Sus scrofa: one gene and its partners. The main gene of each other region encodes a partner of the protein of the gene in region 3 in a complex. Links are inferred from orthologs where the notes say so. Each region holds a gene or a part of one and is shown on either strand. Other genes may lie near its edges.

Evidence for each region.
Region 1: the proteins of ACTR2 (region 3) and ARPC5L are in contact, whole or in part, in a cryo-EM structure (PDB 6YW6), measured with the Homo sapiens proteins. The link is inferred for Sus scrofa from reciprocal best matches to the Homo sapiens genes ACTR2 and ARPC5L. Residues at the interface, in NP_005713.1 of Homo sapiens: Tyr225, Glu263, Phe266, Gln267, Arg319, Lys322, Gln323, Ser338; in NP_112240.1 of Homo sapiens: Arg11, Arg12, Val13, Asp14, Ile15, Asp16, Glu20.
Region 2: ACTR2 (region 3) and ARPC5 share a complex: the UniProt entries of both Homo sapiens proteins name them as parts of the arp2/3 complex. The link is inferred for Sus scrofa from reciprocal best matches to the Homo sapiens genes ACTR2 and ARPC5.

What each region holds. Positions count from the first base shown.
Region 1 is NC_010443.5:265,644,486-265,648,599, reverse strand, and holds the start of ARPC5L (actin-related protein 2/3 complex subunit 5-like protein), read right to left. Parts: upstream 2,801-4,114; coding exon 2,652-2,800; intron 1-2,651. UniProt on the Homo sapiens protein: May function as component of the Arp2/3 complex which is involved in regulation of actin polymerization and together with an activating nucleation-promoting factor (NPF) mediates the formation of branched actin networks.
Region 2 is NC_010451.4:124,841,631-124,844,953, forward strand, and holds part of ARPC5 (actin-related protein 2/3 complex subunit 5), read right to left. Parts: intron 742-3,323; coding exon 565-741; intron 1-564. UniProt on the Homo sapiens protein: Component of the Arp2/3 complex, a multiprotein complex that mediates actin polymerization upon stimulation by nucleation-promoting factor (NPF).
Region 3 is NC_010445.4:76,711,992-76,715,642, reverse strand, and holds part of ACTR2 (actin-related protein 2), read left to right. Parts: intron 1-1,187; coding exon 1,188-1,403; intron 1,404-3,651. UniProt on the Homo sapiens protein: ATP-binding component of the Arp2/3 complex, a multiprotein complex that mediates actin polymerization upon stimulation by nucleation-promoting factor (NPF).

The DNA of each region.
Region 1 (4,114 bases), on a different chromosome or scaffold from region 3:
GCACCTAGTCACCTGTAGATCAGGGTTTCTCAACCACAGCACTGCTGACATTTTAGACCAGATGACTGATGTAGGGTCTACCCTGTGCATCATACAATTTACCAGCATCCCTGGCCTCTCTGCACTGGATCCCAGTAGCACCCCCCAAGTTGTAACGATCAAAATATGTCCAAAAATAGACAAATTTCTTTAGGGGGAGGAGAGTGCAAAATCACTCAAAACCACTGCTCTTGCCAGATTCCCGCTCCAAGGGACCAAAAGGTACCTCAGCAAGCAAGAAAAGGATCTAGTGCTTAAAAATCCCTACAAGGGCTCAGAGCCTGTGCCCAGGTGTTTTCACATGTAATCTCATCCCTGCTAACAGTTCTTTGTGACAAGAGTGATTATTCTGATTTTAAAGGCAATGAATCTGAGGCTCAAAGAAGGAAAATGACCTGCCCAGGGTCACAAAGCTAAGCTGTCCAGGTGGCCTTCAAACCCAAGTATGCCTGATTCCAAAGCCAAGCTCTTTCTACAACCTCTGGCTGCCACGCCACGCACAGACCCTAGGTGCACATCCAGGACACTTGCTGTGTGTCCAGCCCTGTGCTGAAGCCTTCTGGCATGTTGTCCGGTGATGCCGCTGTTGAACCTGTAAGCCAAGCTTGGTTCTCCTCCCTTTCACAGAGGTAGATGCCGAGGGTCACAGAGCGAATGAGATCTGCTCAAAGTCACAGAGCCAGAGCATGACTGAGCTGGGTGTGTGCGGATGTGCAGCCCATGCTCCATTTCATCTGTGTGATCTCCCATCACCACAGGCCTCCCTCTACGCACTAGGACAGGCTTACTCCCCACACCCCCGTCCCCCATCAACGCCTATCCCTACTCCCCTTGCTCTGTCCTAAGACTCCTAGAAACCTGTTCTATAGTTTATTAATCTAATGTAAATCCAATACCTGGCACACGGTAAGGACTCAGCAAATATTAGTTCCTTCCTCCTCCCTTCCCGGCCCTACATTTGCCAGGATTTCCGTTCTCATCTGCTAACCTCCCTTTCCCCAATCCCAAGAAGTACATCCTCCGTGGTAACCAGGTTTCTGACACTGCCATTAGTGAAGAAACTACCATCCCCTGCCTCCAAGCAGCCTCAAGGAACCTATCACATCAGAAGCATAACCAAGACATGACCTTTGATAAGTCCCTACAGCACCAGGACGAAGACAGCAGATAAACAGGCCTTGTTCTCCCCTTCTGTGGATGGTCTGAGCCACAGGCCTGACTCTGGAGCCCTTTCGGCAATGCCTGCCCACAGGCCAGGTTCTGCACCAGACTGCAGAATCAAGGTTCCCTCATGGGTACCTTCTCATAACTCCATTTCACCAATGGGGTAAGAAAGGTGATCCTGATGGGGCAGGAAATCCAAGTTTGAATCCCCATCTTTGAAAACACATTTGTTCAAACAAAAAATGTCTGAAGGTTTTTGTTTCAAGGCCCACTGGAGGAACACTGCAGGACTCCTCCCAAAGGCAGTCAAATGGGTTCGACTTGCCAAGCTGAGTCAAATGATTAAACACCCAGAACCTGATTTATATACAGTACAGCCTGAGCCTCCAACCTTGCCCTGGCAAGTGCGGGGGAGGGGTGGGCACTTCCTGTAACACTATTTGAATAAAGAAAAATCCTTCCTGTGAGAATAAGTCAGTTTCCTGTGCTCAAACTGCTAAGCGACCAAGCAGGCTGTGACAACCACCTCTATTTTTAATCTTGTTTTCTAAATGCTTGTTTTCTGTGACCACAGAAGACTCATTTCCAGTCGTGGGGCTCTACTTTTACATCTCACTTTACGTTGCCTGGTTTTTCTTAGCTCTAAACTACTAGTTTTTTCCACTGCTTTCTGAACAAGAAGGCTATTGGGGGGAAGGAGCCAAGACTCACTTGTTGAAAGTGGCTAAGACCATGGAGGTCCAAAGCCCAACGGTTGTAGGAAAGTACGAAGAGGTGAGAAAGAGGGGCATCAAGCTGGAACGTTCAGAACGATTCTGGGATGGGAGATGGAATCGCAGACCTCAGGGCCGGACTAAGGCTAAGGCTGCAGCCTTCGCTCCCACGTGGGTCCTTTCTTCCCCGAAGCCACCCACCCACCTATTTTCATGTGGTGCTGCAATCCAGCCCGAGAGGACTGTGTCTGGGAGCCGCCCTGGCCTCTCAATTACTCAGCGGTAGCTCACCTTGGCCCCTCCCGCCGATCAAGCCCGAGAATGGCCCTGTTTCCTGCCTGGGAGAGATGGAGTGACAGGGCACCCAAGGAAGGGCCAGCCTGAGAGGGATGAGGAGGCAAGGGGGAGGAAAGAGGAGAGGCCTCGCAGAGGAGGGGCCAGCCGAGCCAGACGCCAGTCCGGCATGCTGCTGGGGCCGCCGAGCAAGCCGGCCCACCAGGATACAGGGGCTCCAGGGGTCCGGGCCGGGGACAAGGGAAGTAGAGAGGCCGGGTGAGAGAAGTGGGGATGCCTGGTCCGAGGGGAGCTGGATCGGTAGGGAGCTGAGAGACTGACCTGAGGGAACCACGGATGAGAGAACTGGGGAGGTCGGCCTGAAGGGCCGGAGCCGGGGATGAGGGGAGTGGGAAGGCCAGGCCAAAGGGGAGCCCAGGCCGCCGCGCTGGGGAAGGATATTGCCGCAGGAGCCCGTCCACTTCGCTAGGGTCCGGGCCTGGCTCGGCCGCCGCCGCCGCCGCCTCCTCCTGCTCGTCCACGAATTTGTTCTCATCAAATTCATCGATGTCCACTCGACGGAAGCGCGAGGACAATGTGTTCCGGGCCATGGCGGGGGCTCGGCGCCCGCTCAGCCAGCTCCTCTCCGGGGCAGACCTCCACTCCACTCCGCTCGGAACCGGCTCCGGCTCGGGGGCGGGAAGCGGCGACCCGGCACCTCCTCCACCTCCTCCGCGCGCAGCCGCAGCTGCCCGCCCACTTCCGGGCCACGCCGGAACCGGAAGTGCCGGTAGGAGGGATGGGCGGGGTGTGGCGGGAAGCGCCGAGAAGCTGTTCTGGAAGACGGCCTTGTGACTCTCTCCGGGACTCCTATCTTCGTGTAGCCTAAGTCTTCCTGACTGGGAAACAGGCGCCCAATCCCGCGAAGGCTCAGCACCTGGGCGGCGCCATAACTGCACTCTTCTTCGGCTTCGTTCCTGCACCGGAGGAGCCCCTGGCTCTGGAAGGGGCGAGGGCGTGCATGGTCGGGGACTCTGGGTGTCATCACTGTCCAGATTGAGGGGGCATGGGTCACCGGGAGAAGAGACCCAGCGCTGCCTGCCGAGTGCTGGATAGGTTTCTTGGAGAAGAAACCTATCCAGCTGAGGCCTGAAGGATGAGTAGTAGTTCTTGTGCCCAGGGAGTGACGTAGGGTTAGGAGAACGTATGGTCTCAGATTTTAGGAGTTTCGGACGCTACCTTACTGAGCTTAGAGGAGGTTGCTTTTGCCTTACTGTTGTAGTGACTCTTGTTAATGTACTGGGAGATTTTAAAGACGTTTAAAGTGTGTCCAGGGTGCTGACAAGACAGTGAAGGCATTTGGACCTCAGTATTCTGAGCCCTGCGCGTGAAGCAGTCACCTTGACCGAGGGGGAGGTGGGCAGGGATAGGGAGATGGCCCAGTGGCCACCCTTCTTGCGGAGGGCGAGGTCTTGGGGCCTGAGAAGTCTTGTCTGGCTGGAGCAGTAAGGGTCTCCCCAGTCTGAGATGGGGAAGGTTGAGCAGAGCACAAATACGGCAGAGTCAAGTGCTACTCTGTGGTGCGTGGGCTGTTGCTTGAGGGGTTCTGTTAATGAGCCTTAGCCTTAGACTACATTGGGTCTTCGTTTTCATATGATAGTACTCTTTTTTAATGAAGACCTGTAGTTAGTGAAATGACCCGTTTCATTGCTTCAAATACTTCTCATGAACTGTCTCTACAGATCAAAAAATTTTGCCAGACTAGGATGCTATCTAGGGTGTTAAAGACAGACTCCAACAGGAGTTCCCTGGTAGCTCAATGGGTTAAGGATCCAGCAGTCTTACTCCTGTGGCAAGGCTTCTATCCCTGGCCTGGGTACTTCCGCATGCAAAACAACAGCAAAAGACTCCTACAGTGGGATAGG
Region 2 (3,323 bases), on a different chromosome or scaffold from region 3:
CCCTTCTCCCCAGCTCCGGGTACCCTCCAATCTACTTTCGGTCTCTATGAATTTGCTTATTCTAGATATTTCATATAAGTAGAATCACACAGTACTTATCCTTTTGTGTCTCGTTTATTTCACTCTGCTGATTTTCAAGGTTCATTCATGCTACACTATGCACCAGAATGTCCTTTTTCAGGTTGAATAATATTCCATCATGTGTATGTATCACATTTTGTTTAACTGTTCATCTGTCCATGGGCGCTTTGGTCATTGTTAAGGAATTCTTGATTTTATTGCTTATTTTCTTCTCAATGTTTTGATGTAGTTCAAAGTTCAAGGTTTATCATTTAAGTAAAAGGTTGCGTTTAATAAACAATTATCACTGTTAACAAATCAACATCTCAAGGCCAGTAAGCATGAATCTCAATTTTCATTTTCATGGAATTTCTTCACAATAACAAAGAAGTATAACCCAAAAGTTAAAATAGTTATTTAGGTGAGGGAGGTTGTCAATCTTATTCTCTATTCCAAAGGAAACAGTCATTCAGAAGTCATACAGATCTACAACTCATAACTTACCTTTTCGTGCCACTGTAGTAACATGGCACTGCTATTGTCAGAGGGGCTCTCAAAGCCTTTATAAATATACTTCATTAGCAGATCCACGCCATTCTTGTCCAGGGACTGAACTGCTTTTTCAATATCGTTAGCTTTAAAAGAGATGAGCACCTTCAAGACAATGCTGCCTGCTCGATCCTGAGGGGAATAAATACCAGATCATTTAGACATGCGTGGGGGTAGTTTCAGAAAGGTCACATTGAGAATGTGACGTCTGAGCAAAGACATGAAGGACAAGAAAGGGGAAACCTTGGGTGTCTCTGAGGAAAGTATTTCAAGCACAGGAAGGAGGAACTGCTGTTAATGTGTGGTCAGTATATTCAAGGGTCAAGGAATAGCAAAAAGACCCAAGGTGGCTGCAGCGGAGGAAGAAGGGTAGACAGGACGTCAGAGCCGAGGTGGGAAGAGGACATAAGCCCTGCGGGCCCTTGGGAGGGCTCTGGCTTCCAGTCAGAGAAATGAGATGTTGGAAGATTCTCAAAAGAACAGTGATATAATCTTACATTGTAGCAAGACCATGTTGGCTGCCTTGTAGAGCGTAAGCCTGGGGCCGTGGGGGTTGGGGAGGGCAGGGAGAGCTTCAGATAAGGCAGAAGCAGAAGCAGGGAACCAGTTTGGAAGTTATTGCAAAAGACAGGCTGGTTTTGGCTAGCATGGTAGCAGCAGAGGTGGTCAGAAGTGGACAGATTATTATTATCATTTTTAATGGTATTTTATTTTATTAAAGCTTTTTTTTTCTTTTTTCTTTTTAGGGCCACACTCGCGGCATATGGAGGTTCCTGGGCCAGGGATCAAATCTGAGCTGCAACTGTGACCTACACCACAGCTGCTGCAACACCGGATGCTTAACCCACTGCACGGGGCTGGGGAGCTGAACCTGTGCTGCCACAGAGACAATGCAGGACCATTAACCCACTGCACCACAGCAGGAACTCCTATTTAAGTAAAAAAAAATTTTTTTTTTCTCTGACAGATTCTTGATATATTTGAAGGTAGAGGTGAAAGAAAAGAATTTGCTTACAGATAGACAGATGTGATAATTTACCAACGTATTAAATCAACACACTTTATTTCTTGATCTTTTTCTTTTTTTGCTCTTTAGGGCAGCACCCGAGCCACATGGAGGTTCCCAGGCTGGGGGTCGAATCGGAGCTATAGCTGCCAGCCTACACCACAGCTCACGGCAATGCCGGGTCCTTAACCCACTGAGCGAGGCCAGGGATTGAACCCACAACCTCATGGTTCCTAGTCAGATTGATTTCTGCTGTGCCACAATGGGAACTCCTATTTCTTGATCTTAAAAATAAAAACAAAAAAGGAAACTAAATTGCAATTCTATCTTGAACCATCCTTCAGAAATAAGTTATTAATAAGCAAAAATTTAAGTTTTTAAGAAAACATTTTAAGTTTTGGATTATGACCTTTTTTCTTTGATAAAAGGCAGTTCCAACAGCAAAGTCATTTTTTCACCCATCAAGCCCAGCACAGGGAACCTTAACTTCCCCTTTTTCACAATGTTTCTCCTATTCCACACAAAGTGCTATCTTCAATACTCCCACTGGTCAGGATTTTGCAGTATGTCTCTACCACCTGTTGTTATCGTCAGCTTAAAGACCATGTAATTACTCTATTTAGAAAAACATCCCTGCACCCAGAGCTATGACCTCCCACCCACAAGCTATGATTAAAAAAAAACACCCATATGAAAACAGAAGGTGGTAAAACTAAAATTTCAATGACTTTACATACTTTAAAAAACCCCAATTTTCCCCCGTATAAAAGATTATGTTGTCTAGATAATTATTACGCATTAACCTAAGTTATTACTTACGACTATTCAACTAAGGGGATTCTTGGGGCTTCTAGAATGTATGAATAGCTACCGACAGTGGTGTCAATGCTCTGGGCTTCATTTTATTTTATTTTATTTTATTTATTTATTTATTTTTGTCTTTTTGCCATTTCTTGGGCCGCTCCCACGGCATATGGAGGTTCCCAGGCTAGGGGTCTAATCGGAGCTGAAGCTGCTGGCCTACACCAGGGCCACAGCAATGCTGGATCCGAGCTGCGTCTGCAACCCACACCACAGCTCACGGCAACGCCGGATCGTCAACCCACTGAGCAAGGGCAGGGATTGAACCTGCAACCTCATGGTTCCTAGTCGGATTCGTTAACCACTGCGCCACGACGGGAACTCCCTGGGCTTCATTTTAAACAATAAATAAGTAAATAGGGTCTTAAGAATTACTGAAAGACTGCTACAGGGAATGTTTATACAGCTTTTCTGAAGGGCAATTTGGCAATATCATATATACCAAAGCTTTAAAAAATGTGCAGTCTAAAATCCAGTAATTCACATCTAGAAATTTATTCAAAAAAAAGTTAAGAATTTACGCAAACTGTTGATTTCAGTACTGTTTACAAGAGAAAGGTCAATAATCTAAACATATGACAAAAGGAGATGAGTTATATATAAACTACACTATTATCTATACTCAGCCATTAAAAAGGATATTGTAGAAATAAACTTATTGCCAAGGAAAGAGGTTCATGCACATTGCTGTATGGCTGAAAAAGCAGGTTATAAAATTCCATTTTCATAAAAAAAACATGCATAGGAAAACTCTTTAAGCATAGAGCAACACCAAAAAGTAATAATTATCTATGGGTAGTGGGATTATATATGATTACCTTTTTATTCCTCCCATTTCTGAGTATTC
Region 3 (3,651 bases):
GTCTTAGTGAACATTTCTAGCATCTGCTTTAACTTTGTTTTTGCTTTTCGCTGTTGCCTTCAGTGGTGATTTTCCAGAGATCTGGTTTTGGGGTTTTTTGTTTTGTTTTTTTAGAGTCCTGGTTTAGCTCTTATCTTTTTTTTTTGAGTTGTTATTTTTTAAAGTTTTCAAGTCATATATATTAAACCTCTGTTTTAAAACATCTTAAAGTCTCGCAGCAAATAGTAGCTATTTCTGATACAAGGATTTTTTTCTCTAAGTTGGATTCATCCATATATGTAGAAATCAGGATTGTTTAATATTTTGAATAACTGATTTCTAAAATAAGTTTAAATTCTGAGTCCTCATTAGCTTTACTATACATACAAAATACGACTTTTCAAATGTGGGTCATCTTAAGTACGCTCTCATTGGAGACAAGACTTGTGAGTATTCTGCTTTATGTGTGATAGCATAGCTTCGCAGTATTTAAGATTGAAAGTGTTGCTGAGATAATTTCAAAGAACAGCTGTTTCTCTGTGTCTTAATTTTTTGTATCTATACAAATTGTCATTCATCTTTGTGAGGCATGTATAGAAACTTAATTTCAGTTCTAATTTAGACATATATAGATAGGAGTTTGTGAAATTTACAAGTTATGTGGTACATATATCCATTATTGTAGTGTAATAAAAATCATTTTATTTTTTGCTTCTCATTGTGCTTTATAGTACCTACACTTATCATTTTGATATTTAGTACAAAGAAATGTGCTGCATGCATTGAGCATTTTTCTACAAGTTTTTTTTTTTTCCCTGATGTGCTATCTCACATATCACAGGCCTTATTTTTTGAACATTTGAGCAAAAGAAACAGCTGAAACCTCATACAAAACCCTCCAAAATATGAAAATGTGGGGTTTATTTGTGCTAATGCTCTTCTTTTGGAAACATGTGTGTTAAAGGTAAGGTCAATTTATTGCTTTAAACCACCTTGTACATAAAATGTACTTTTCATAATTAAGCTTTGCAAAGCATTGTTCATGAAAGAAAAGATCTCTTTAACTTGTGGAATGAAGAACTTTATCTGAAAGTGCCAGAAAGATTAAAATTAATTATTCCCAAGCCTTCCGAAATATCATGGGAGGATAATTTTCTGAAGGCATTTTATACAAAAATTTGGTCTAAAGCTTTGATATGGTTTTCTAGGACCTTATGGTTGGTGATGAGGCAAGTGAATTACGCTCAATGTTAGAAGTTAATTACCCTATGGAAAATGGCATAGTACGAAATTGGGATGACATGAAACACCTGTGGGACTATACATTTGGACCAGAGAAACTTAACATAGATACCAGGAATTGTAAAATCTTACTCACAGAACCTCCTATGAACCCAACCAAAAACAGAGAGAAGATTGTAGAGGTAAGTTTTTAGATGAGTTGTGCATATATGTGTTTCTGTGGTGTGATGGTAAAGCCAATTGTTTTTTTCTTTCATCTTACCATTGTTGTTGAGAATGGAAAGGATAAAAATAATTGTTATTTCCTCCCAGATGCTATTTACTGAGCACTTAACTATATGCTAGTCATTATTTACAAGTAGAATATATCAGTAAACAAAACAAAATCCTGCTGCCATGGAGCTTACCTTCTAGCAAGGGAAAACAGACCACACACACACACACACAGAGTTAATTGAATGGTTTGTTAGAAGATAATAGATGCAAAAGCGTTTTAAAAAAATGTAGGTTAAGGGGCAGATAGGGAATGTGGGGAGGTTGTGTTTTTCATAGGATGTGATGGTACAAGTCTGTGAGAAGGTGATGTTTAAGTAAAGACAGAGTAAGGGAGTTAGCCAGAGCACTCCAGGCAAAGGGAATACCTGGTGTAAAGGTCTTGAAATGGGAACAAGCCTGGCATATTAGAGAGTCAGCAAGGAAGCCAGTGTGGGAGAGCAACAGGAGATGAGGTGGAAGGAATAATGGGTCAGATGACCTGGGGCTTGTGGCCTCTTACAGAGGAATGGAGGGCTCTTACAGGGAAGGGACACATTCAGATTTAGGTTCCTGTTGACTGCTGTGTTGAGTGTAGAACATAAGGAAGTGAGAGTAGAAGAGAGACCAGTTTGGAGACTTTTTCAATTATCTAGGCAAAAGATAATGATGGTTAGGATTAGGGGTAATAGCACAGAAGGTAGTGGGAAGTGGCCAGATTGTGGCTGTATTTTGAAGGTAGGACCAAAAAATATTCTGATTCCTTAGGTATGGGTAACAGAGGGATAACTCCAAAGGTTTCAGCTTGAGCAGCTAGAGGATGGGGAAAGATTGTAGAACAGAATTTGGAAGGCAGATGGGTCAGGTAGTCAGTTTTGGGCATGTTAGGTCTTCATTAGTCATCCTAGCAAAAGTGTCAAGTGGATGGTTACCTGTCATGTTCAGGAGTAAAGTCTGAAACAAGATAAAAATTTGAGAGTCATGAGGATATAGATAATATGGTTCCCCAAATAAGTGTTGTTAGCTATATAATATATATCATTCCTTATGATTTATATATTTTTTCCTAGCAACTCCTTAAACTATGAAAGATGGGCTTTATTGTATTAGTTTATATTTTAATTGAATTTTAGAACTTTCTAAGTGATTTACAATCACTAATACTTTGTGATGGATAAGTAATCATTGTAATTGCTATTTATTTTTAGTAGCACATTACAGAATCAGATGGCAGAGATTTTTTTTCATTAAACTAAAAAATTACTACACAAGGAAACCTCTTTAGGAAGGTAACACAGTACCAGGATGAAAATCAACTTCTCTTTCAAGCAAAAGTTTAGGCAGATGACATTATGCCTGAGTGCCTTTTCCACTAACTAGCATTTGACTAGGACACATACTGTTTTAATCTGCGAAAATGACAGGACTTCGTCTTTCCTCACTCTAAGGTCTCATATTTGTTTAATACTCCTTTTACTTGTGAGTGCAAACTTGGCTATGATTCATAATGCCCTACTTTAATCTCATCCAGAGAGTCATTTTAGAACTACAAATACTTTCGAATGGTTTTATAAAAACAAATTCTAACAGGCTGTCAAGTTAATAAATGCAAATACAGTTGAACCCTGAACAGCAAAGCATTTAGAGGTGCCAACCCCTCTCAGTGAAGATTTACATATAACTTTATAGTTGGCCCTCTGTATTCAAAGTTCTCCATCCCTGGATTCACCCAACCTCAGATCACATGGTGGTGTAGTATTTATTTATTGAAAAAAAATCTGCAATTAGATGTACCTGTGCAGGTCAAACCTGAGTTGTTCAGGGGTCAGCTGGATAGCATCACTCTTCCTTTTTCATCCCTGTGGAGGGGAAATAAGGATGATGGAATAGAATAGTAGTTAGAACATCTAGTTGCTGGAGTTCCTGCCGTGGTGCAGCGGTAACGAACCTGAGCACGTGGGTTCGATCCCTGGCCTCACTTAGTGGGTTAAGGATCCACTATTGCCATGAGCTGTGGTATAGGTCACAGTCACAGCTTGGATCCTGAGTTGCTGTGGCTGTGGTGTAGGCCGGCAGCTACTGCTCTGATTCAGTCCCTAGCCTGGGAACTTCCACATGCCGTGGGTTTGGCCCTGAAACAAACAAACAAACAAACAAAATCTGCTTGCTTAATTGCTG